Struthio camelus: one gene and its partners. The protein of the gene in region 2 interacts with the protein of the main gene of each other region in a pairwise test. Links are inferred from orthologs where the notes say so. Each region holds a gene or a part of one and is shown on either strand. Other genes may lie near its edges.

What was found.
Region 1: the proteins of BBLN (region 2) and ATP6V1D interact in binary tests that used the Homo sapiens proteins (3 or more experiments, as listed by UniProt). The two-hybrid records come from large-scale screens. The link is inferred for Struthio camelus from reciprocal best matches to the Homo sapiens genes BBLN and ATP6V1D.
Region 3: the proteins of BBLN (region 2) and CEP290 interact in binary tests that used the Homo sapiens proteins (3 or more experiments, as listed by UniProt). The two-hybrid records come from large-scale screens. The link is inferred for Struthio camelus from reciprocal best matches to the Homo sapiens genes BBLN and CEP290.

The regions. Positions count from the first base shown.
Region 1 is NC_090946.1:46,691,373-46,699,223, reverse strand, and holds the start of ATP6V1D (V-type proton ATPase subunit D), read right to left. Parts: upstream 3,094-7,851; 5' UTR 2,906-3,093; coding exon 2,865-2,905; intron 2,049-2,864; exon of another isoform or gene 1,612-2,048; intron 477-1,611; coding exon 359-476; intron 1-358. Other genes in the region: EIF2S1 (eukaryotic translation initiation factor 2 subunit 1), read left to right, coding at 5,455-5,695, 6,454-6,533, 7,358-7,509. UniProt on the Homo sapiens protein: Subunit of the V1 complex of vacuolar(H+)-ATPase (V-ATPase), a multisubunit enzyme composed of a peripheral complex (V1) that hydrolyzes ATP and a membrane integral complex (V0) that translocates protons.
Region 2 is NC_090961.1:7,400,791-7,407,971, forward strand, and holds the start of BBLN (bublin coiled-coil protein), read left to right. Parts: upstream 1-4,101; 5' UTR 4,102-4,966; coding exon 4,967-5,051; intron 5,052-7,181. Other genes in the region: PTGES2 (prostaglandin E synthase 2), read right to left, coding at 39-239, 795-947, 1,586-1,641, 2,321-2,515, 2,905-2,940. UniProt on the Homo sapiens protein: Essential for intermediate filament organization in intestinal cells, interacts with intermediate filament and regulates intestinal lumen morphology.
Region 3 is NC_090942.1:49,141,405-49,148,602, reverse strand, and holds the start of CEP290 (centrosomal protein of 290 kDa), read left to right. Parts: upstream 1-4,100; 5' UTR 4,101-4,427; exon of another isoform or gene 4,428-4,785; intron 4,786-6,921; 5' UTR 6,922-6,968; intron 6,969-7,198. UniProt on the Homo sapiens protein: Involved in early and late steps in cilia formation. Its association with CCP110 is required for inhibition of primary cilia formation by CCP110.

The DNA of each region.
Region 1 (7,851 bases), on a different chromosome or scaffold from region 2:
ACCACAGAACATGTTAAATCCACTCCTACAGCACTTAGCACTGTCACAGCAAACCCCCTGTAACGTAGCAGAGCAGGCAGTAGGAAACTCTAGATATAAAATAAGAGAATCTAGCGCTAGTTGGAAAGAGGGGAAGAATATTAAGTCTTACAGATTTTCAGTACCATCGCAGCCAGGAAAACATACTTCTGCTTATTTGTCCTCAGTAGCCTCACTTACAAAACACAGGTTATACACAAAGTTGTACTACATTCTAGCTTACCTTATGAAGTTAGCAGGATGGGAACGTACAACTGACATATAACAGAGAACTTTTAAATGGAGTGAGCTAAATATAGGAAAATTCCAGTTTACCTACCTCAATAATTTTCTTAAGGATCTGCCTGAATCGAAGTGTCAAAGCATCAGATTTTTTCTTCAAGAGGTTACGACCTGTTTGGGCTCCTTTCAAACGAGCCTTCATGATGGTCTGAGCCCTGTTAAACAGACCAAGAAACAAAAAGGCCCTGTGTCATCCAAAGGGATTAGGAAAAAGTCATAACAAGTTTCCTGGCACGGACATGACTGAAATTATGAAGCAACCGAGCAAAATCAATGCAGTAAACCAGGTTGGACAATTCAGGAAAGAATTCTCTTTTTCTGTTTGAAATCAAGGGAACTTATCTCCTCTCCATCAATGAGGATTACAAGGTTAGTATCTGTAAAGCTGAATAGCATGGAAAATTGACAAGTTATTTTTCAGCCCCTTCATAATAGGAAATAAAGAGTTTTCATTTTTCCTGATGACAGCTACTCCAAATGAACCATTCTGACACAGATTTGGGAACTGAAGGATCCCCGTTTCCCTCTACTCCTGTGAAGTATGGTTTAAATTGCACAATTTGTTGATTTAGGTTAACTAAAATGACAGTAGCTATACTACAAAAAACACAAGTTTTGCTAACTTAAGCTACTGCTTTGTACACATAATTACTACACACAAAGGACAACACTCAAGACAGCTCTGTGAAAGGAGTAGCCTGCACACTTCCTCTCTGACCTTGGAAAAATTAAGTATAATTAAGATTCTACCTACACTGTGAAATCCATTACTTCCCCCACTTTACAGGCATATTATAAGAGTGGCTTCATTAATGTCTAAAAGACGCTTATAACCGGAAAAAAAAAGTGAGTACTTTCTGAATGTTCATGATGAAAAACAAGGTCAAAGAATAAAAAGGTAGCTTTACTTTCATAACAAACTGGAACTGGTTCTGGAATGCCACCACCTTGAACCAGCTCACTTGCTCTGCTCGCTACCTGTCAGAGACTGGCTCAGTTTCTACTTCAAGCAAGATTTCACGGGCTCTGAGAACGCGTTAAACAAAGTCTTGTTTACTGTCAATAAGAGCAGTTTCTGCAAGGGATCACGTCCAGTACAGAAGAGGTTCATACCAGCAAGACCAAAGAGTAAAAGAAAAAAAGAAAGAAAAAAGAAAAAGAAGGATTTTGAAAACTCTGCTCTGTCAGTTAACAAAAAGATTTGTTCCAGAGGCAGAGAGGGGCCATCTTTATTTTACTGCCCTAACTTACTTCCCCATCAAAATATCAGCCGCATTATTGGTCTATTACCTCCTTTGAAGAAGAGGCTTGTAAATATTAAGCCTTCGTACATCATCACCTTCTTGCCACAATGAGGTACCAGCCCACAACACAGGTGCCTTTCCAAAATAACTGAAGTGTCTTTTCCTTGGACGTGTAAACTCAATGAAAAGAGGACGGTCAACAGCAGATGCAAGACCAAATGACTTACTACCTACAGCAGCTTATTTCTGATCCAAGATTCAAAACAGAATCTTTACCATGTAATATATTAATTTTTCCATGTAAGGTGTTATTTCATACATCCTGAGCTCATATGAGGGAAGGACTGTTATTTTACATGTGAGGTTCTCTACCACTGCAAGGTATCTTTCATAAAGACTATATCTCAGGCATCAACCCAGTTTTTATGCAAGATTTGAAACAGCTTTCCACTTTAAAGCAAAGTCCTTCTATCCCAGGGAGTTCTGAAGAGAAAATGAATAGCACTGTTACAATAGCAATTTTAATAGCATGTCAATTTTAAACATTTGCATTCATTCCAACGTCGGCCTCTTCCCAAGCCTTGTCAAAAGGCACCTGACTTCATGACAAATAGTCTGCTGTCAGGATCTGGAAAATTACTTGACTGTCCACTGCACTTTTTGCATTTGACTTCCTGTATTTTCTTAACCCTTTACAGCCAACCTCTCGAATGCAGTTGCTGCCACATTAGTTATATCAGTGGCAACTATTTAGAAGAGAAAATGCGGTTTGATTTGCGGTCTTTTTTCTTGAACCCAGATTCTACAAATTGGTCTTTTTTGCAATCAAACTTTGCCTTACTGTATAATAAGCCCCTGGGAAGCTGCTTCTCCCTTGGTACTGGCCCCTGCAATGGCCCTCGCATGGCCCAGAGAGCTAATATTGAGCAACTTGGAAAAAAGAGACTAACGGGAAGATCAAGCTGCAGTCTCCAACTGCCTAGCAAGGGGTTTCACGCGAAACACAGAGCGAGACTGCCCTTGGGGGCGCACAGCAGGAGGGCCGGCGACAGCGGGCGCAGCCTGCGGCACGGGAAACGCCGGTGGATGCCACAAGCGGAACTGATCCCGCAGAGGCATCGGCAGCTCGGCTGGGCCGGGCCGGGCCGGGCCGGGCCGGGCCGGGCCCCCCCCCCGCCCCGCGGCTCTGCTCGGGGCCGCAAGCGCGGCCCGGCCCGGGCTGGGCGGCCGCAGCCGCCGCGGCCCGCGAGGCGCCGACCGCGCCGCCCGCCGCCCCGGCCCGCGCGCAGGCTCGCTCACATGCGCGACGGGAAGATCTCGATGCGGTCCTTGCCCGACATGGTGGTGGTGGCGGCGGGCGGGCGGGCAGCGCCGCGGGACCGCTCCTGCCGCCGCGCCGCACCCTCGCGTGACGCCCCCCCCCCCGCCGAGTGACGCGACCCCGGCGCAGCGGCCGCGCCCCCGCCCCGAGCAGGCCGGAAGCGCCGGGAGAAACCCGGATGGGAGAGCCCGCCCCCTCCCGCAGGCCGGCGCCGGCCCCGCCCCTTCCTTGCGGTCACGTGCCCGCCCGGGGCCAACGGCGCCCTCTGGGGGCGGGAAGGGAGAGAGACGTAACTTGTTCCTGGGCCTGTTTGTGCTCCCAGGAGGTTCTTGACTCTGCGGCTCTTAAGCGGTCGCCTCGCTCTCAGCGCGCGGAGTCCCGCAGGCTCCGAGACCGTTCTAGTGCAGCGCGAGCGCTACGCCCTCGCCCGCCCACCGTCCGCCTCGTCCCCCCACCTCGGCGCTGGGACTCTATGATCCGGCGGGGCGGGGCCGGCCCGTCTCGCGAGAAGGAGCGCGGCGGGGCGGCGGGGGCCGGTGCACGCTGAGGCAGGAGCCGGGCCAGCGCGGGATCCGGGAGCGCGAGCGGACAGCGGGACCCCCCGGCCGTTGCCAGGTAACGGCCCGTCCCGGCGCAGCTCGCCTCCTACCGCCGACTCAGGCTCCGGCCCTGGGCCCCGGCGCCGCGCCGCGCCGCCCGGCTCCTCGCGAGGACCGGCGTGGCGGAGGGCTGGGCCCGGGGCGCCGAGGGCCGCGTCCGCCATCTGCCGCGCAGCTGCGAGCGGCCCGCCCGGGGGGCCGCACTCTCCGGGCCGGGTCGGGCCGGGCCGCGGCCTGCCCGCGTCTTGCCGTCGGCCTGCTGGAGGGGTCCGCGCCTGCGCCCGGCGGGGGCTCTCGGCCGCCCCGGGGGCCGCTTCCGTCCCCGCTTCGGCGCCTGTGCTGCCCCCAGGGCTGTGACTCCCCGGCCTGGGCACCGGGTCGTGGCAGCGACGCCGCAGCGGAGGAGTTTCTGGCCAGAAGTTAGCCTGGTTTTGCCAGTTCTTACAGAGGCCTCTGTGGTCGTTTCGTGGCAATGTGGATTTAAATCCTTGCCCGTTCATTTCCAGCGTCTGGGAAAGATGATTCCCAGTCTTGGGGCTGCAGGTAGCGTGTTGTCCCTGAGGCCCTTTCGATGGGAGGACAGCATAAATGCCTTGTGACCACGGAGAGAGCAGTGAAACGCTGTCTGTGCAGAGCTGTAGTTGTCTGTTCTTGCTCGCCATTGTTGGGGGTTGTTGCTTTATGCTATGTGTTTATTCAGTGTCTCATACATAGATATTCAGGATTAATCTGAATTGCACTAAATAGACTGGAAAGGTAAATTGTAAAATGTGTATTTTTAGTCTTGGGATTCTTTGTTGAACTTATGGTTACGTGAAACCTTTAGAGGACTGTTTTCATAATTGCTTCACTAGTTTATATTTTCTCCTTTCTCAAAGTTAGTGAAGAATGAAAATAAAGATGGACACTTTCTTCAAAATTGTTTGGCCGTGTTTGTGTAGCAGTTGGCATCACCGTCTTACTCTTTTTAATATTCTTGTATTGATGCAGTGCGTTAGCACTGCTGTGAAGATCAGGCGTGAAACTTTGAAATGGCAATTAAATCTTTCAGGGAAGTAACATGTTTGACTTGGTATTACAGGCTGCTACATCCAGAGTGATCTTATAGTTCTGTATCAAACTTCTAGGCATAGACAAAAGGAGTTGGGGTAGCCTGATTAGTAGTGATGAATGTGTGGATTACTCTCATCATCAGGAAAATGAAGCAGTTTCCTATGAAACTGCATGGATTAGTGTGCATTTCTTCTTATCGCTGCACGTTTATGAAGCATGAGCCTTCTTTTTTGCGTGTGTTCTGCTGTTCTTGCATCCTTTGACTTCTGAAAAGTGGCCTCTGGAGCTGTAAGCCTTCCTCTCTCTGTACGGAATTATTCCAAATATTTTATGTTGAGTTTAAAATATCATTTTCTAGAGTATAGAGATAGATGGGGTCTCTTCTTTCTCAGTACTACAGAAGCTTTGCTCTGCTTGTTATTTTATCAACATTTCACATGCTGTCTTATGATACGCTTACAGATATGTTTGTTATCGCTGCAGTTCTCTTCTCTTCTGTGTGCTCCTGTTGTTGAAATCTGATTTATAATTTTACATGATATTATGAATTTAGATGAATGAAGAGTGCTGTACCTCCTTTTCACCACATGAAGTCTCTTCTGTATTGTGCAATATATGTCATACGACAGTCGAAGTGGATAATAACTAGGTAGCAAGGTTTTTTACCTTCATGCAAAAGATGATCATCTTAGCAAAGCCTGTGATAATACTAAATACTAAGATAAATTAATTTAGTATTTTATGAGAGCCTAATTCTGGAAATGTTTTCCTAAAGTAATTTGCAATTTCTTGTTCCAGAGTTCAGTGTTCCTCTTTATCCTTACTAGTCCTTGCTGCTTCTTACTACGTTTGTGGGAGAGGTTAGTGGTGTACTATGAGCTAAGTCATCTTTGTTTCTTTTTGCGCAAATTACAGAATGCCAGGACTAAGCTGTAGATTCTACCAGCATAAATTTCCAGAAGTGGAAGATGTAGTGATGGTCAACGTTCGGTCCATTGCTGAAATGGGAGCTTATGTCAGCCTGTTGGAATACAACAACATTGAAGGCATGATCCTTCTTAGTGAGCTATCCAGAAGACGTATCCGTTCCATAAACAAACTCATCCGCATTGGGAGGAATGAGTGTGTTGTGGTCATAAGGGTTGACAAAGAAAAAGGTATTCTGGGATATTATGGGCAGTATCAAACTTGAAATCATAAAGATAAACGCAAATAAACTGGGCAGCTTAGGTTTTTGGGTTTTTTTGGCTGGGAATTTTTTTTGCTTAAGGTACTCAAACAAAATAGAGCACAATCCTGCCACGTGATGTTTGTGAGCATTGTTCTGTGTGTCCTTTGAGAATCAGGTTGATGAAGATCAGTCACACCAGTAAAGATTTGTTTGAGTCCTCAAACTCTTAAATTCAATGTTTTAGTCAACAAACGGTATTGAAGTGGGATTTTCTTTTGAAGTCTCTGTTTATTTTCTGAGTCTTAACTGGAGAGAAGAATGATACTAGACCTGTCTGTGGTAGTGAAAAAAAAAATCTAAATGATGAGCATTTAGACCTCACAGTTCATCCTGTGCCCTAAGGCATCAACCCTGACTATAAAATGGATGGCAGTTATGTAACGATTGTACCATATGCATACTGTAGAAGGTTAAAAGTTGGGATTGTACATATAGCCTTAACTTTTGTCCATTCCTGTCTTCTGAACTCTTGAATCTTTGAAGTTCTTTAATGTATTTTCTATGTAGGATGTCATTTTTTAGCAATACTGTTCAGTGCCATCTTTAACATCTATATCCTTGTTCTTTATGCTTTTTTTTCTTGAAGCATTTAGACTTTTGAACATGGGGTGTATTTTTTGTTACTTGAAGAGTAAAGTTTGCATAATCCTGACACTTTCCAAATTTTTTTTTTTCTTCTAATAGGTTATATTGACTTGTCAAAAAGAAGAGTTTCTCCAGAGGAAGCAATCAAATGTGAAGACAAATTCACAAAATCGAAGACTGTAAGTTGCTCTGCTATCTTCAGACACTGTGGTTTGCTCAGTTGCTTTTCTGAACAACAAAAATGCATAGGCATAAGTTAAATGAGAACAATAATTTGTTTTCATATCATCAGGAATGCTCTGATATTCATTTACCCATGCACATATATGGTCAGTTCATTTGTCTGTGAATGCTCTGCTAAGCTGCTTCTTGTTTAATGGATAGATGAGTTGTCAATTGAAAACTTATGATGTAAAGGGTGATATTTTAATGATCAGAGATGCAAAAAAAAAAAAAACCTGGTTTAGCACGCTGTGGACAAATTTCATTGAAAAGACTTGCAGTCAGTGTGCTCTTATGCTTCTGAGTGAATTTTTTGCCATTGAGTATTACTTCGATTCTAACTTTTTTCTTTCCATACAATAAAATACTGTATGTTTAACAGTTCAGTAGAATTTTCTGTTTCATTTTCCTTGAGAGAGTAATTTTATTTTCATAACATGTAGTAAAGGTTCAGGTTAATGCAGTTGTGTTTGATACTTTATACGCTCCTAGAGTTTTGTATGTAATTTATTGCTAATTATAGAGGGATATTATATTGCAGCATCCTGCAGCGTTTGGAATCAAAGCAATTTTTCATTGATCTGTTGGATTTTTTTTTTCATTTGTTTTTGTTGTCTATTTGTAGCAACAATTTTGATTGCGGACTTTTAATCTGAAGGACTCAATTGCGTGCTGTACAAGCTCATAGTAAGAGTCACTCATTGTGTGAATTTGCAGTTGGAACAAGACATCCTCATTTCTTCCCCTCCCCCCCCTTTTTAAAAATTTGTTTATGTTCAAGGTTTACAGCATTCTTCGCCATGTTGCTGAGGTCTTGGAATACACTAAGGACGAGCAGCTTGAGAGTCTGTTCCAGAGAACTGCCTGGGTATTTGATGACAAGTACAAAAGACCAGGATATGGTGCTTATGATGCATTCAAGCATGCAGTCTCGTAAGGATGCTTTTTTACTTCTGGGAATTCCCTTCATAGTTGCAGAGAAGTACTTCCTGGACTAGGTTCATCATAATGCAAAGTCAGTATGTAGCGTGTACTGATCAATTAAGCCTAGCAAACTTTTATTTCAGCCCTCCAGTTGCTCACTGTAGGTTTCTCTAACTGTTCAAGTGACTTTTGTCAGAAAAGAAGAGGCGCTGGCCTTGGTTTCTCTGTCAGAATTTGCCTGTTTGTAGTCCCAGGCAGATACTCTCATTCAGATCTAGTTCTGTGCCTGAAGATATTTATGTCCACAGCTGTCATTCTTCCACTGCTACCAGCTGAATTTTTCTTTTCTAA
Region 2 (7,181 bases):
CTATTCCTCTCATGTACGTGGTGCCCAGTGCTACTAACCTTTTCTTCAACCTCTTGCTAATGAAGAACATGGCAATGGCCCCCAGGTACTTGGCAAAGAAACCTTCCACAGTGCCAAACTTCCCCTCACGGACAATGTAATCAAAAGATGCCAAGGCTTCCCTAGGTGTACGGTAAACATTGGGGGAGATGAGGTGAACAAGCCAATCGTCTGCCCATTTTCTCCACTTCATTTCTTCCCTGCAGGTATTCAAGAGAGATTTTTCAGTGAACGAGGTGCAGACCTGGGGCTACAGGAGGCAGCTACAAATCACAGCGGCATTCACAGGAGATTGAGCCAAGCACGAGTGTATCACAAGCTCCCGCCTCGTCTTCTGCTCCGGTGACCTCTCTGAAACGTACTCAGGAGCACTCTTTGGCAAAGCTACTCCAATCTCAAACTGAAACTAAGACTAAGATAGAGCACTAGCTTCTCTTCCCATTATGGAAAGTAGAGCAGCAAACCCATTCATGGGAAGCTAGCATTCCTCTGCAGCAGACAGAAAAGCCAAAGAAAGAAACTGGAGGAATCTTAGGAGCTAGACAGTCCAGGTCCCACCATCACGGTCATGCTAACACTATTGTTTCAATTTGCGTAAAAAACACATCTCCACTAGCTACCAAGCAGGGGAGAGGGGGTGTGGCAGGAGCTGTCAGTAGCAGCTCCAGCAGGATTATACGTACGTACCCTCCCTGAGGATATCTGGAGGAGGCTGTGACCCTACTTGGGAGACCCAGAAACTTAAGAGCACTTACACTCTCACTTCTTTCATGGGATAGACTTGCTTTGTCTCCGTTTCATCCAACATGAGCCAGTACTTATTCCCATACTCGAATGTCTCCTTGCCTTGCTCAGTCACAGTTTTCATAGGAGGATAAAAGGACACAATCTCTTCTAAGCTCTTCCTCCTGAGGACAGAAGCATAGTACCTGCTCTGGCTGCTACACAAATGTGCAAGAGCAAAGACATATCAAGAGAGATACACTTTAAAATGCATTATTCTAAAAAGAAGCACGAAGTACCAAATTCTATTTGAAATGCGTTTGAAAAGGACTCTGGAATACTTACTGGCAAATAACATTATTATTAGCGTACATTACATTTCTCTTTGTCAGATGGGACACAAGTGGAAGTTTCTGCAGGCATAAAGCCTCCTACGATTCTCTAATGTTTTGCAACTGGGGTGCAAGGACAGCGCGCAAGCACAGCAATTTGATGGCATTCTAGATGTTATAACTAGCCAAAGGCAAGTTTAGCTCTGGGACTAACCCTAGCCAAGGCTTAAGTAATCTTTCTGCAAAGAGAATCTCACAGATGAAAGAGAGTTCTGAAAGGTAAAAGCTGAGCTTTAACACACACACCAACATATACGTGGGTTGTCCGCACCGTCATAGGCTGGGGATCAGGTCAACTGATCCAAACACCCAAAGCTTCAAACGCTAAGATCAGTAGGATACTAATGAGCTAATTGCTGAGCGTGTTCTAAATCTCCAGTTTGCTAGGGCCATTCAGATTCAACTCTTCTCCCATCAACCTGTTTTCTTACTTGGAAATAAGATAGGTCTTTATTGCACTGATGATCACTGAAGAATCGTTCAATTGCTGAAAAACAGAATTAAGACAAATTTTAAAAATAATTCTTGGTGAAATTGAAAAGGAAAGTTCTTCGGAGTCTTTACCCCAGCATTCTGAGGCTCCAAGTTAATACTGTAGTCCCTTCGTCCCCAAGCATTTCCACAGGTAGTCCTACCATTGCGCTCCCTTCTGCGATTATCACTTCTGAGTCTGTCTTTCATTCTGACAACAGGGGACCTGAGGGCAGGTATCCAGGCAACACTAGCAGGTTTGGGGTTTTAGCTCTTGGCAGCAAAGGAGGGAAAGCAACGCTGGGGGCACACGGACACACATACACACACTTAAGTCTTCAGTTTTCTTTAGACCTCATCCTTTTCCCACAGGATCTAAGCAGCTCCCATTACCCTCTGGTACCAAAAAAAAAAAAAAAAAAGAAAGTGGGTCCTGCATAAGGGCTATCGGGAGCTACATAATCACTGGATTATAGAGTCATTACACAAAACAACAGGTCTTGGAAAAAGAGAGACAAAAAACTCTAATAAGGCCAAGCAACAAGAGATCACGAAGCAAGGAACAAATCTTAGGCTCCTGAGAGAATAAAAGATGATACTGTATGCGACAAATGAGAAGCATAAATCTCCAAACCGTTGCTAGTGGGGAAAACGAAGCAAGCTTTCAAAACAGTTGAAACCATTTCCCAACTTACCAGAGGGCTTCCAGCATTGGCTAGCAGGATGGGCACCTTTCTGTAGGAAGAGAATTTGATCTCTTTCCTCATTATTGGGTTCACTTCCACAATTTCATAGGGCAACCCATGATAATCAAGAAAAGCTCGGACTTTGCTGCAGAAAGGACATGTTTTATACTGGTAGAGGGTGAGCTGCAGGCTCCCTTCAGGCAGCTAGGGAAGGAAGAGAGCAGAAGTTTGTATTTCCTACTAAAAATCTGAATATGCTATCTTCTTTCCACCTTTATATTAAAATTGTAGCTGTTGACGTTCAGTTTCAACATCTGATCATCAAAATATCCTGGCTAACGGATGCTTTCTTCAAATAGCATTACAAACATTCACCTCCTATTGGGACCAAATACCTGTTTTTCAAAATATTTATTTAGCCTGCTGAAACTCCCAGTCATAGCAAAAAGGCAGTTAAAAATCTGACGCTTTGAACCCTTTACAAACAGTTCTGAAACTAAAGAAAAACACAACAGTATTTTAACAGCATTTAAACCAAACCAAAACACTTCTCTAAAATAGCAGTTTTACCCACCACTCTCTCTGAAGCCTACCGAGTGGGGGAGAATGGAAAGAGACGCTCTGTTCATCACGCTACAGAGAGCCGCAGCGGTACCCCACAGCACAGTTGATTACAGAAACACGGTGCTAAAAACCTGCCAGAAAATAATGACTTCAGGCGTGCAACTGCCGAAGCTCAGATTCCTGGGAATAACCAACCTGTGCTTAGGTGGGGACAGGGAGAACCGGGGGTAGGACAAACAGCAAAGCATCAGGCCAGGGATGCTTCGCAGCAACACCGCGGTACTCCAGCGGTCTGACCGCCTGCGCTCACTGCGGCATGCGTTACGGAGCACACGCAGCCATCTCACCTTGCTTCTCGTGTGTAATTGGTTTGGTTACACAACCCTCCATGGGTGCCGGACAAAAAAAAAAAAAAAACACCAGCTAAGAGGCAACACTCCACCTCCCCCCAAGCTCTCCCTTTCTAACAAGGGCTCCCTACAGCTCCTCACTGAGGATAAGGCCGCTCTTTCCTTATTTTAAGCCCTCTCCTCGCAGACGCTAGAGCGGCAGCGGGGCGCTGGGGCGGCAGAGCCAGCGGGAGCTGCCTCGCGCCTCCCCCGAGCCCGTCTCCGGAGGGGACCCCCCCCGCCTGGGGCCTCGCAGCCAGCCCGGGGCCAGGGAAGGGCGGGCGCCGGGGGCGACAAAACGGGGCCCGGCGGCGGCGCGTTACCTCAGCGGCCGAGTGCTCCCGCAGGCCCTGCCGCGCCACCTGGTAGAGGCCGGCGCCGCCGCCCAGCGCGAAGGCAGCGCCCAGCAGCAGGCGGCCGCGGCCGCCCGGCCCGCCGCCGCCCCCCGCGGCGCCGTAAGCGCGGCGCGGAGCCCGCAGCCGCCAGGGGGGCGGCGGCAGCAGCGCCGCGACCCGCAAAGCCCTGCCGGCAGCGGCGGCCATGTTCCCGGCGCGGGCGGGCGCAGTGGGGGGGGGGGGGGGGCCTTAAAGGGACCGCGCCGCCGCGGGGAGGGGACGGCCGCACCCCCCTCACCCCCCCCCGCTCCGGCCCTCCAAAATGGCGGACGGGGCTTCGCGCTGAGGGAATGAATACAGCAACATCCCTCCCTCGTGGAGTGCTGTAAAACCCACGCGCGGGGCGCTGTCCTAGGGAGCTTCTGCGGCGACAGGGCCAACGGCTCTACGCGCCCAATCTTCCTGACGGTCGCGCTCGCTTCCCCCGCTTAGGGCAGGGCGTAACGCGGGGTCCAGCTCAGCAGCACGTAGCTGCGTTACGCTGAAGACGGGACGCGAGGCGGCTGCACCGTTAAATCAGGACGTGACCTTTCCTTTCTGCTGCGCCCCAAATACCCACTGCGTTACGGGGCCCTCAAACCAGCTTTGCCTCAGGCGCACTGCTCGACTGAGTGCTCTAATTGCAAGTTATTTTCATCCCGGAGACAGCTCCCCGAGGACGAAAAAATCACGCAGCGATCAGATACCCTCGGGTGGGGCTAACGATAAGGAAAGGCAACGAAAATTGCGCTTATTCTCTCGGGGAAGAGAAGGTTTCAGCGAGGGGCGGCTCCTCACAGGGCAGGGGGGCCGCCCCCGCGCAGGCCTGCGCCCGCGGCACTAAAAGCCATCCCGGAGGACGAGCGCGGACGGTGCCCCCGCTGTGCCGGGTATCCGCCGCGGCGGGGCGGGCCGAGTCAGCACACAGCTTCGCTTTTGGGGAAAGCACCCCGGAAAGGGCGGCTGCGGGGCTGCGCCGCGGCGCGCCTCTCCCCGCCCGCCCGCGGACCGCCCGCCGCGCGCCCTGCCGCTAACCACAAGCTTTAGCCCAGCGCCGGGCGGCCGGGCTGCGTGACGAGCGGCGGCGCGGAGCTCTCCCATTGGCCAGCGCTCCGGCGCCCCGCCGAGCTCAGCGGGCGCTCCGCCCCCGGCGTTCCAGCGCGTTCCAACGCGCGGTCCCGACGTTCCAGCGCGTTCCAACGCGTTCCAACGCGCGGTCCCGACGTTCCAGCGCGTTCCAGCGCGTTCCAACGCGGTAGTGGCGCGCTCCCGCGCGTTCCAACGCGGTGCCCGGGGGTTCCGACGCGCCTTCTCGGCGTTGCAGCACCATGTCGGGGCCTAACGGGGAGCCGCACGTGGCGGCGGGCGCCGCCGGGCAGGACGACGAGGACGGGGACAGCTTCGGGGAGGAAGGTGCGTGAGGGCCGCGGTGTCCTGCCTCGCTGCCCGGCCGGGCCGGGACCGGGGCTGGGCCGCCCTGCCTGGCTTTGCGCCTGAGGAGGCCGCGTCTCCTCCGCAGCGCCCGGCCCCGTGGCGCTCCTCGCGGTGGTGTTTTTCCAGATTTATGGCTGCGCGTCGCTGCCTTGGGGATTAGCGCTTGTCTGTCAGCTCTGTTTCTTAGTTTTTGGAAGCCAGACCTAGCGCTTCTCAGGACTCGTCCTGTGACCTCAGCAGCTGCACGCGCAAAGGCGGAGGAGATGGTTCCTTCCCCTCAGTGTGGCACGGCAGCTCCTATAGATTGCTTTTTTTTTTCCCCCCGTGTGAAAAGAAGATTATTCAGTGCTTTTGCTAGCGTACAGGCTGTGATGACCGTGTTCAGCTTTTGAACCCGCAGGAGAGACCGCTTGGGCAGAGCTGGATGAAATAGTCAAGGATGGAAAAACTGTGTTTAATGCAATCAGCTTGGCAAATTCCACTTTCAGTCATTTCTGCAATGCCTAGGTATGAAATTTTTGATACTGCCGTGGCCGGTTAGACCAAAAAAAAAAAAACTTTTGGAGGAAATGAGAAAATAGCAGAGCTCAAAGGGGTATGTATGGGTCATTCTTAACATTGGAAATCTTTTGAAGCGTAAGCACATAGCTACTCTCCTCTTGAAAGTGGGGAAGAGCGGAGCTTTGCTTTCCCTTTCTCAAAAGACCACTGAGTTTCCAGCAAGCACAGACCTGACCTGTGTAGGTGAATCTCGTCTTTCTGGCTGATCGTCCCAGTGACAGAAGGATCGTTTCTGTTGCTGCAGTACCCCAGGAGCAGTCACGGCACTGCGTTATCCAACGGTGATTTGCGCTTCCTACTTTTTGAAGAGCTAAGAGATGCAGTGGAGGCGATGGAGAAAGTCGCTAAATCAAGTCTCCGCATTAGGCTGGTCTATTTGTAATTAGCAGAGGGTTTGTGCGCGCTCTCTAGTTGTAATGATCTGTAGATATTTCCTGGTTTAGTTGAGGTGAAACTGTGGATCGCTTCTTTGATCTCAAGCAGGAGACCTTATTTCATGGCAACTGTTACCATAAGAATGCAGAGAAGCAAAAAATGTGATTGCCCCGCTCCTGGTGAACATCTCCATTGGGAGAAGTAGTTAAGTGTCTGCAAAAATACACGAAGCTTGCAACTAGCAGAAGACAATCAAATTAACTGTTTTTACAGCTTATTTTAAAATAGTTAAAATTTTTCCGCTTCCCAAAGCTGCACGGTTTTTATAGCTTTTTTTTTTTTTTTTTTTTGAGCATTGGGCACCAGAACAATTAGGCTTCTGTGATTAGAGTTCTTGACCTAGTTGATGAATAATGTTATTTTCTTGTCAGAAGTAGTCATCGTATCTGCTTGAGATCTTCTCACCGTTTAACTGGAACATGCTGCATCACACATAGAACAAATACTATGCTAAAGGAGCGCTGTAACTCCTGGACATTCTGGTATCATATACTGTGAAGCAGAGTTTACAAAATATTGATGACTGCCCCTTTTTTGGAAAGAATTTGTGTTTGTGAAATTCGTTTTTAAATGGAAGGACATCAGCTGTGCTCTTGCTCGTAATACCACCTCTGCATATACCTGCAAGGCCAAAATTTTCTCTTATAAACATGCTTAAGTGCCACATATGCACTTCTCCAAGCAATTAAAGGCTGCAGCACTGCTCTGAATGGCTCCATCAAAGTAGCATAAGAAAAGGAGGACAATTCTCTTACAATGAAACTCATCCTCCACTATTAGTAATGCAAATAACTGTAATACTTCAGTATTCACAGTTATTTTTAAAATAGTTGTACTGTAAACTGTGGAAATAACTTCTCTCAAAGAGCATCCAGCTCTACCACTGACCTCTGCTCTCCTTGACCTGTTCCCAGGGTCATTCGGCCTTGGGAAGATGCTTTTTGAAAGCAGCACAGACTGCTGATTATTCACTAGAGGCAAATCACGCCCAGTAAAATCCTGCCAGGTCCCCTTACCTATCTCAAGATCTGGCCTCTTGAGAACTAATGTCAGTGTGTGTGTGCGCTTGGTGTGAGACCAGTTAGAAAATGATAACTTAAAAGGAACTGACTT
Region 3 (7,198 bases), on a different chromosome or scaffold from region 2:
AGAGATCATTAGATCTTATCTAATGACAAGATCATTAAAATTCATCTCAAACTTTAAAACTGTTACAGCTTTTGGATGAGAGGACTTACTACTTCAGAAGACACTCAGCATAACTGACATCTTATTGATATCTCTGGCTTCCAATTTAAAATTCAGTTCAAACCAACAAAAGTAACAAGCCATCAGAAAACTGAAACTTAGAAAATGATTCAACTTATTCATTGTCCACAACAGAATCTTACTGCATTCTAAAGACTTAACTTTATCATTCTCATACACTGAAAATATTCTCATTCTCAATTTTATTAAATATTCACAGATATTAAAAAAATGCCTTACACTTTCAGTCATACCAAAGCTTCATTACAAGACAACAGCATTTTCAACCACAATCAAACTGCAACTGTTCTCTATAGACAATGTAAGCAATAGTGTGGCCAGTCTGCAAAACTCCATAGGCTCACTTTGATGAAGAGTGCCTTGCATGTGCAATGTGAAGCATAATTATTATCTCAAGGAGCCTAATTCTGTGTTATATTAATGAGGCAGCTGGCAATGAAAAAACAAGCAATTTGCACAGGGATCAGGTAGCCTCTCAAAAACCTTTGTAAACATAATAATGATCATTTGTGTACATACCTAATCATAACATGTGGATTCCCCACTCTCTCGCTTGGAGTTCTAAGCCAGCATAAGACACAGACATACATGGAAGAGATCTGCAGAACTGGACTTGCATCTCAGTTACTCTGGAGACATGTACTTTGATAATAACTGAGGCTCCCTAACTAATTGAAATGTATTTACAGCTCACACAGAAAAGTGACTCAAACTATGAAAGGTGTGTGTGGGGGGGGGGGAACAAAGAAGGCTGAATTGGTGAATACCAGACATATACGATAGGTTGCCAAAGCTAGCAGTTTAGTCACTTTAAAAAGTTATTTTAATCCAGCACCTGAAGCTGTAGCCTCACTTGTCTTGCCTTCTTGGTCCCCTTTCTATAATTATTTCATTTTTGTTAAACCAAATATTCTGTCTGCTGACTTAGTATCACTGTTTAATGATAGAAAGAGATCATATACTGTATTTCTGTTTGTTCTGTTGTCCCTTTTCAAAACAGCCTTTAAACTTATCTTCTCCTAAAAATGCTGTCCCAAGGCTCAACTTCAGTTTGAAGCACTTTAGATCCACAGTTGAGGTTTAAATGATTGGGTTAGAATAGCATATGGCAGGCAGTATTTGGGAAGACAGAAGGAGGAAGAACACAAAACATGCCTGTACTCCCCTTCCTCTGGCTGGGACCCTAGACTAGAAAAAAATTAACAGAAGTTTTAATGGAGCAACCTCCTTCTGCAAATACCACAGGATCAAGGGGAAGTGGGACTAATCTGCATAATTTTCTAATCCCCATAAGGGGGATACATTACACTCTCAAAGCCTCCAGCTTTCTCTTTGCACAGTTTATTAAGTATCAACTAGTTAAGGAACGCCAATTCTGACTCGGAGTCAGAACATGTGGTGCAGGAAGGAGGAGAAGTTTCAGAGTGGGGATGACTGTGAAGTTTGCTGGCAATCAGCCAGCTGAACCAGAACTCAGACATTTTAGGTACCCTGGTATAAACAAGTATCAAAACATATACAGTGTAAAAATGGATAATAAGAAGATACTGCATTGTTTAGTTTCAATTTGTTCAATACACTTGATGTAACAATCAGCTGAAATACAAACTACACAAGAATAATACATATCTTAAAATAATTAACTCTTACAGGACTTAATAACTCATTAGGTCTGCCTTTAAATTTTTTTTGCTACTAAGCTATACATTTAAAAAGTAACAAAAGAATACCTTCTATATTCAGAATAACTGCAAGAATATAATGCAATGTTTCCTCCTAAGACACAGATGCAAAATATCACATCTCTAAAATAATGCTAATCAAACAGATCAACACCCTCAATGCTTCAGAAATACAATACTATTAACTGCATGTTCATTAACTCCATAGATCAGAGTATGCTACATGGGTAGCATAGGCTGAAAAGGCAGCCTTTAGACTCTGCTATGCATGTCCTTATTTAGTATGCTTGGACCACATGTGCCTCTTCCGTAAATAACATTTTATTAGATCTGTAATACTGCAGTTTTTGTATTAGCTTTTTGAAACAGCATACTATATCAAAACTGTGGTTTAATACAGATGCCCAACTCCTGTATCAGGGTAGGTCAAGCTGCCTATGATACAACTTAAATGTGTTCTGGCTCCAGATCTACAAGCATGCATTCTCACCAAAAGAAGATGCACTTATAAAACTCTTACCACATGATTAAGTGTGAGGCATAACAAAAAAAAAAATCCACTTTCTCAAAGCCATTCTGTATTTTGTATATTTCCCCTTTTAATGTAGGATTACTACTTCCATTCTTTCCATTCTATTTTCATTTTTTAAAGTTATCATGCCTACTTCAAAAATCCCCTTTAGCTCTACAGCAATCCTCTTGACTATCTATACTACACAATTGTGAACTAGATGTGGTTGCACTACAAGTACATGTAGTAGCTTTTTTGTTTTTTTGATTCTGTAACACGACAACACAAACATAAATGCTAAACCTCATCCTGCAGCAAGTCCACATAACTCTGTGCCAAACTTATTCTCTTTGGATCACCTCCACCTATAAAGCTCCTCCAACTAAAGAAATCATTGATTTACACTTAATAACGATGAATTTTGTTTTTAGTCACATTACCTATTCATGAAATATAGTCCTGTCTCTCTTTTCCTGCCCTAATTACAAAGTTTCCTTTTCTTCCCCACTACAGAGCTATAAGTAACCAGCCTCTGTCAAAGGTATAAAAGCCTTTACCTTCATTCAAGAATTAGAGTTAAAATGTTACTGGAACAAGTTACATAACTGTAAGGAGTGCCAAGCGTCTTGAGTTGTGTCAGCCTTCATTAAATATAAACACTGATTAAGAGATAGCAAAGAAAAAGAAATCATGAAGCTAGAGAAAGCCTAATATCAAGAAAGTCAGAAAACTACATTAGGATCACCCCTCTCCATCAGTACAGAGAGCCAACAAAAAGATCTTGAGCTTTCAGCACTCCTGCTGAATGAATACAAAGACATAAACACAATTCCAATGGTTGCTGTTTTCCCCCTTTTTATTTGAAAACGTACGTTCGTGCCCAGTTAGCTAAAACGCAGGATCCCAAACCTTTGGGGCCATCCGACACTACCAACGCTCACGGGGCCTTGCAGACCACCGGCAGAGTCAAGAGACCTAACCAGTCTATAGGTGCGATCCTTCCCGTATTGCTCTGCAAACTATCCTTTGAGGAGAGATTGTTATATACTTACTCACACACATATACACAGATAGAGAGACTTGGAGAGTGCCGCAGCCCCTGCTTATTTATACACATATACACAGATAGAGGGACTTGGGCAGTGCCGCAGCCCCGCAGCCAGCCACCCCTGCGGGAAGGCCCACACTGCCTGCAGCAACAGGGGGAGGCCGGGGGTAGGGGCCTGGGGGAGGGGGGGCAGGGCAAACGGCCGCCGCTGGGCACGAAGGCGCCGGTGCCTCCGTGAGGAAAGAAGCGGGCTGAGCCGCAGCGCGGGGCCCACTGCCCGCCCCCGGAGCCGGCTGCGCGACCGAGGCCCCGAGGCGGCACCGGAGCCCGGGCCTCCGCGGCCGGGTGCGGAGTGGGCGCGGATGAGGCCCGTGCCGCCCGGCCAGGGCAGAGAGGACACCTACCCCCACCGCGGAGGACGACCGCGGGCAGCATCAGCTCCGTCGGACCCCTCCCCGGTGCCCCCTGCGGAAGGAGGGCCCCCCACGCCGCCGCTCCCCACCTTACCTGAGGCCGCGGACGAAGCGCCCTCGCCACCGCCCACACCCCGGTGCGCATCCGCCCGCCCTCCGCCGCCGCCGCCGCCACCGCCACAGACGCCCCGCCGCACTGCGCACGCGCACACCGCCCCGCGACGGCCGGCGGCAACCCCTGCCCCGCAAGGGCTGTCGGGAAACCGCTCAGTCAGTGGCTGGACGTCCTCAAGGTGTGCCGGGATCTGTAGTCCCGGCGGAGGCGCACGGCATGCTGGGACACGTAGTCCGCCATCAGCAGCGGGAGGTTGCCGCCTGCCGCCGTGGTGAATCGCGTGTCCGGGCGGGATGGCTCCCCACCCCGTCCCGCTTTCCCGCCCTGCCCCCGTTTCCGCACCCGCGGGGGTCGCGCCGCTCCGCGATGCTGAGCATCGGTGGTGCTCAGCTTGCATTGTGGGGCTTGTAGTACCGCGGGAGGCCTGGCCCGCCCCCGAGTCCACGAGGATCCGGGTCGCCGGGAGCGGAGCCGGCGGGAGTGTTTGATGGCGTCGCCTAGCAGCGGCCTCTGCCGCCATCGTGGCCCTCGGGGAGCGGTGAGGTCGTGAGTGGGAGGCGACGCTGCGCTGCGGGAAGGGGCCGAGGTCCCGGGGCTCCGTCCTGTCGCCGCGCGGGACTGCCGGCTCTGCCCCGGGGGCGCCGTGGTCAGCGGGGAGCCGGGCCGCGGCTCACCTGTGCGGGGCGGCGGCGGCCGTTAGCGCCGTTACAAACGCGGCGCGTGCGGGGGTCGCTGCGGGGCGGTGCGCGTTTGCGCCCTGCTGCCTCCGCTTACAGCTGCGCGTCACCTCCGCCCCCGCCTGAAGGCGGACACGAAATAAGGTGGTTTGCCGCTCCGGAGGAGGCGGGCGAAGTGGAGGCGGAATTGTATCTCGGCAGCATCGCGGAGGAGTCGCGGTGTGTGTCTCGCTGTCACTCCCGGGGCCGCGATATACAGATTTGAAAGAAACGGGAAGCCTGCACGGGATCCCGTTTCGGGTGTGGCTTCGTGGTGCGGTGCAGCCCTGTGTGCTGCTAGTATAGGAGAGCTCGTTCTGGATAACCTAGTCTGTAGATCTAAGCTGGGATAATCCTCCTAGAGTAAATAACTAAGGATTTAGCAGAGTGTGTCTCCTGCACGACTGTGCTGCTTTTTAGTATTTAGTCTTGCTCAAGTGTACGTGGCTCTGTATTGCATGTTACGTGTGCCTTTATGGAAGAGGAATGGCTCCTCCTAATGCTGCTTAATTCACTGTGATGAAGATAGTGTATCGGCATGGTAGTTTAGCTGTCTTCTCTTCATGTGGCTTATTGTAGGCAGCACTGGGTGTTATAACTTGAACTTGCCCGCCACACTTCCCTTTTTATCTGCCTTACAGAACTCTCTAACATCAGAATGTTTTATATATGCTTGGTTCCCTAGCTAAGCCAAGAAAATCTTGTGTTAACTAAAGTCAAACTCATGTATATTTAACTGCTTTTACAGAACCGTGATCTCCTCTCCCCACCCAGATCTGTCAGCTAAAAGGCACACACTGTAGTGAGGGGAAGGCGTCAGCTAAATTTTAGGACGGAACACTTTTCAATTGAATAACTTATCTTTATTTTGTTGTCCTCAAGTATATACATAGTGTGGAATGTACTGTACGTTTAGGTTGTGCCCCCAAGAGCTTACTCTAGTTGTCCCCCAACAAGTTGGATTTTGTTTACATATATTATAGATAGATATATATCTATCTCTTTCAATACAATTTCAGATTGTTTTCTTAAAGACATTATTTAGTAAATAAATAAAAAGATTTTAAAGAGGGAAGATTGGATAACAGTGTCAGTAATAAGGTTGTAATAATGCTCTCAGAATAATTTTGACTGTCAGGCATTTCATATTCATAACTTCTGCCTCTCAATTGTTTTAAAAAAAGTGTTTAAAAGGAAAAAAAAAAACAAGTAAGTTAGTGAGGATCTTGAAATTAAGTAGCCTTCAGTTAACTGAAGAAGTAGGTGTGCCAAGATCAGTATGCTCTTTCTCTATTATTATATTTTTTAAATGAAAGACTATTAGAAGATGATTTTGTTCTCAGATTTTTGGGTACATATTTGTTATTGAAAGCCTTCCATTATGTTTGAAGAGATGAACTCAGAATTTAAGTATTAATTACTATTTTAAGTTAAATATTTCTCATTCACTGACTATGGTCCATATCCTTATGATGCTGTTAGCTCTTTTGTGCTCTCTGCCCTTTAGTCTTTTTCAGTCTTTTTATATTTGTGGTATGATATGGTCATTTCTTCTGTCTGCTCTAATAACGTTTTATCCTTATGAATATGTCTTCTCTTCATTGCATCTGCTGAACTGACATTTTGAATGTCTCCTGCATGTGATTTTCTGGTATTTTCCTTTGTCCTCTAGGAAAATCAGAAAAGCAAAATTTGTATATGATATTGTTAGGAAGCCATGGATTATATAGAATGCATGTTTTCTAAAACATTTAGTAAAAACTAAAGAAACAATAAATACAGAGAGAGCTGTCAAGTAGCATGCATCAAAGCAGATGAGAAGAGTTTGATTTTTATCCTCACTTATGTGTACACTAGGAGTTCAGAGTTTTCCAGTTCTTTCAGATTACATAGGCATATTTCCTGGGAAAATAGTATCACTTTCATTAAGGAAGGAACTTTCAGTTGTTGAGTCTTCAAACTGCTGAATGTGAACAGGGTGAATGATGAACAGATATCAAAATACTATACTCAATCTACAGCTTTGCTGTAGTTCTGAGAGAAGTCCCCCCCCCCCATCATAAAATACCTATCCCACTTGTGTTATTAGTTTACTTAGTATTAATGAACTAAACATTCTTGTTAATTTTATGTCTCTCTTAACTTTCTGAACCGTTAAAAGACGGATTTTTAATTTAGGGCAATATGTAAGTAGACTAAAAATATTCCTTTTAAACTTGGCAGAATTCAGCTTTCGACATATTGCTGATATGGCGGTAGGAACAGCTCTGGAGAATGTAGTAATCCAAGACTTCCATTCTCTTTTGCCTTTTTCAGGTACTCCAGGCCTATGGGAAGTCACTGTGACCCGCAGCAACTATCAGGTAAACTGTAAAACAAAACTTTGCACCGCTTCCAGATTAGATTTTCATCAGTTTCCAGATGGTTCACTGTACTTTTGTGGTTCAGGTACTCTAATCAGAAGGAAAGGATATTTAATACAAGAATTCAATGTCTTACAAATGAATTTCAACAAATGGATATGAATAGTATCAAACTAAAGCAAGTGCTGTGCTTTAAACATAAGAAATAATGATTTTGTCACTATAAGGAG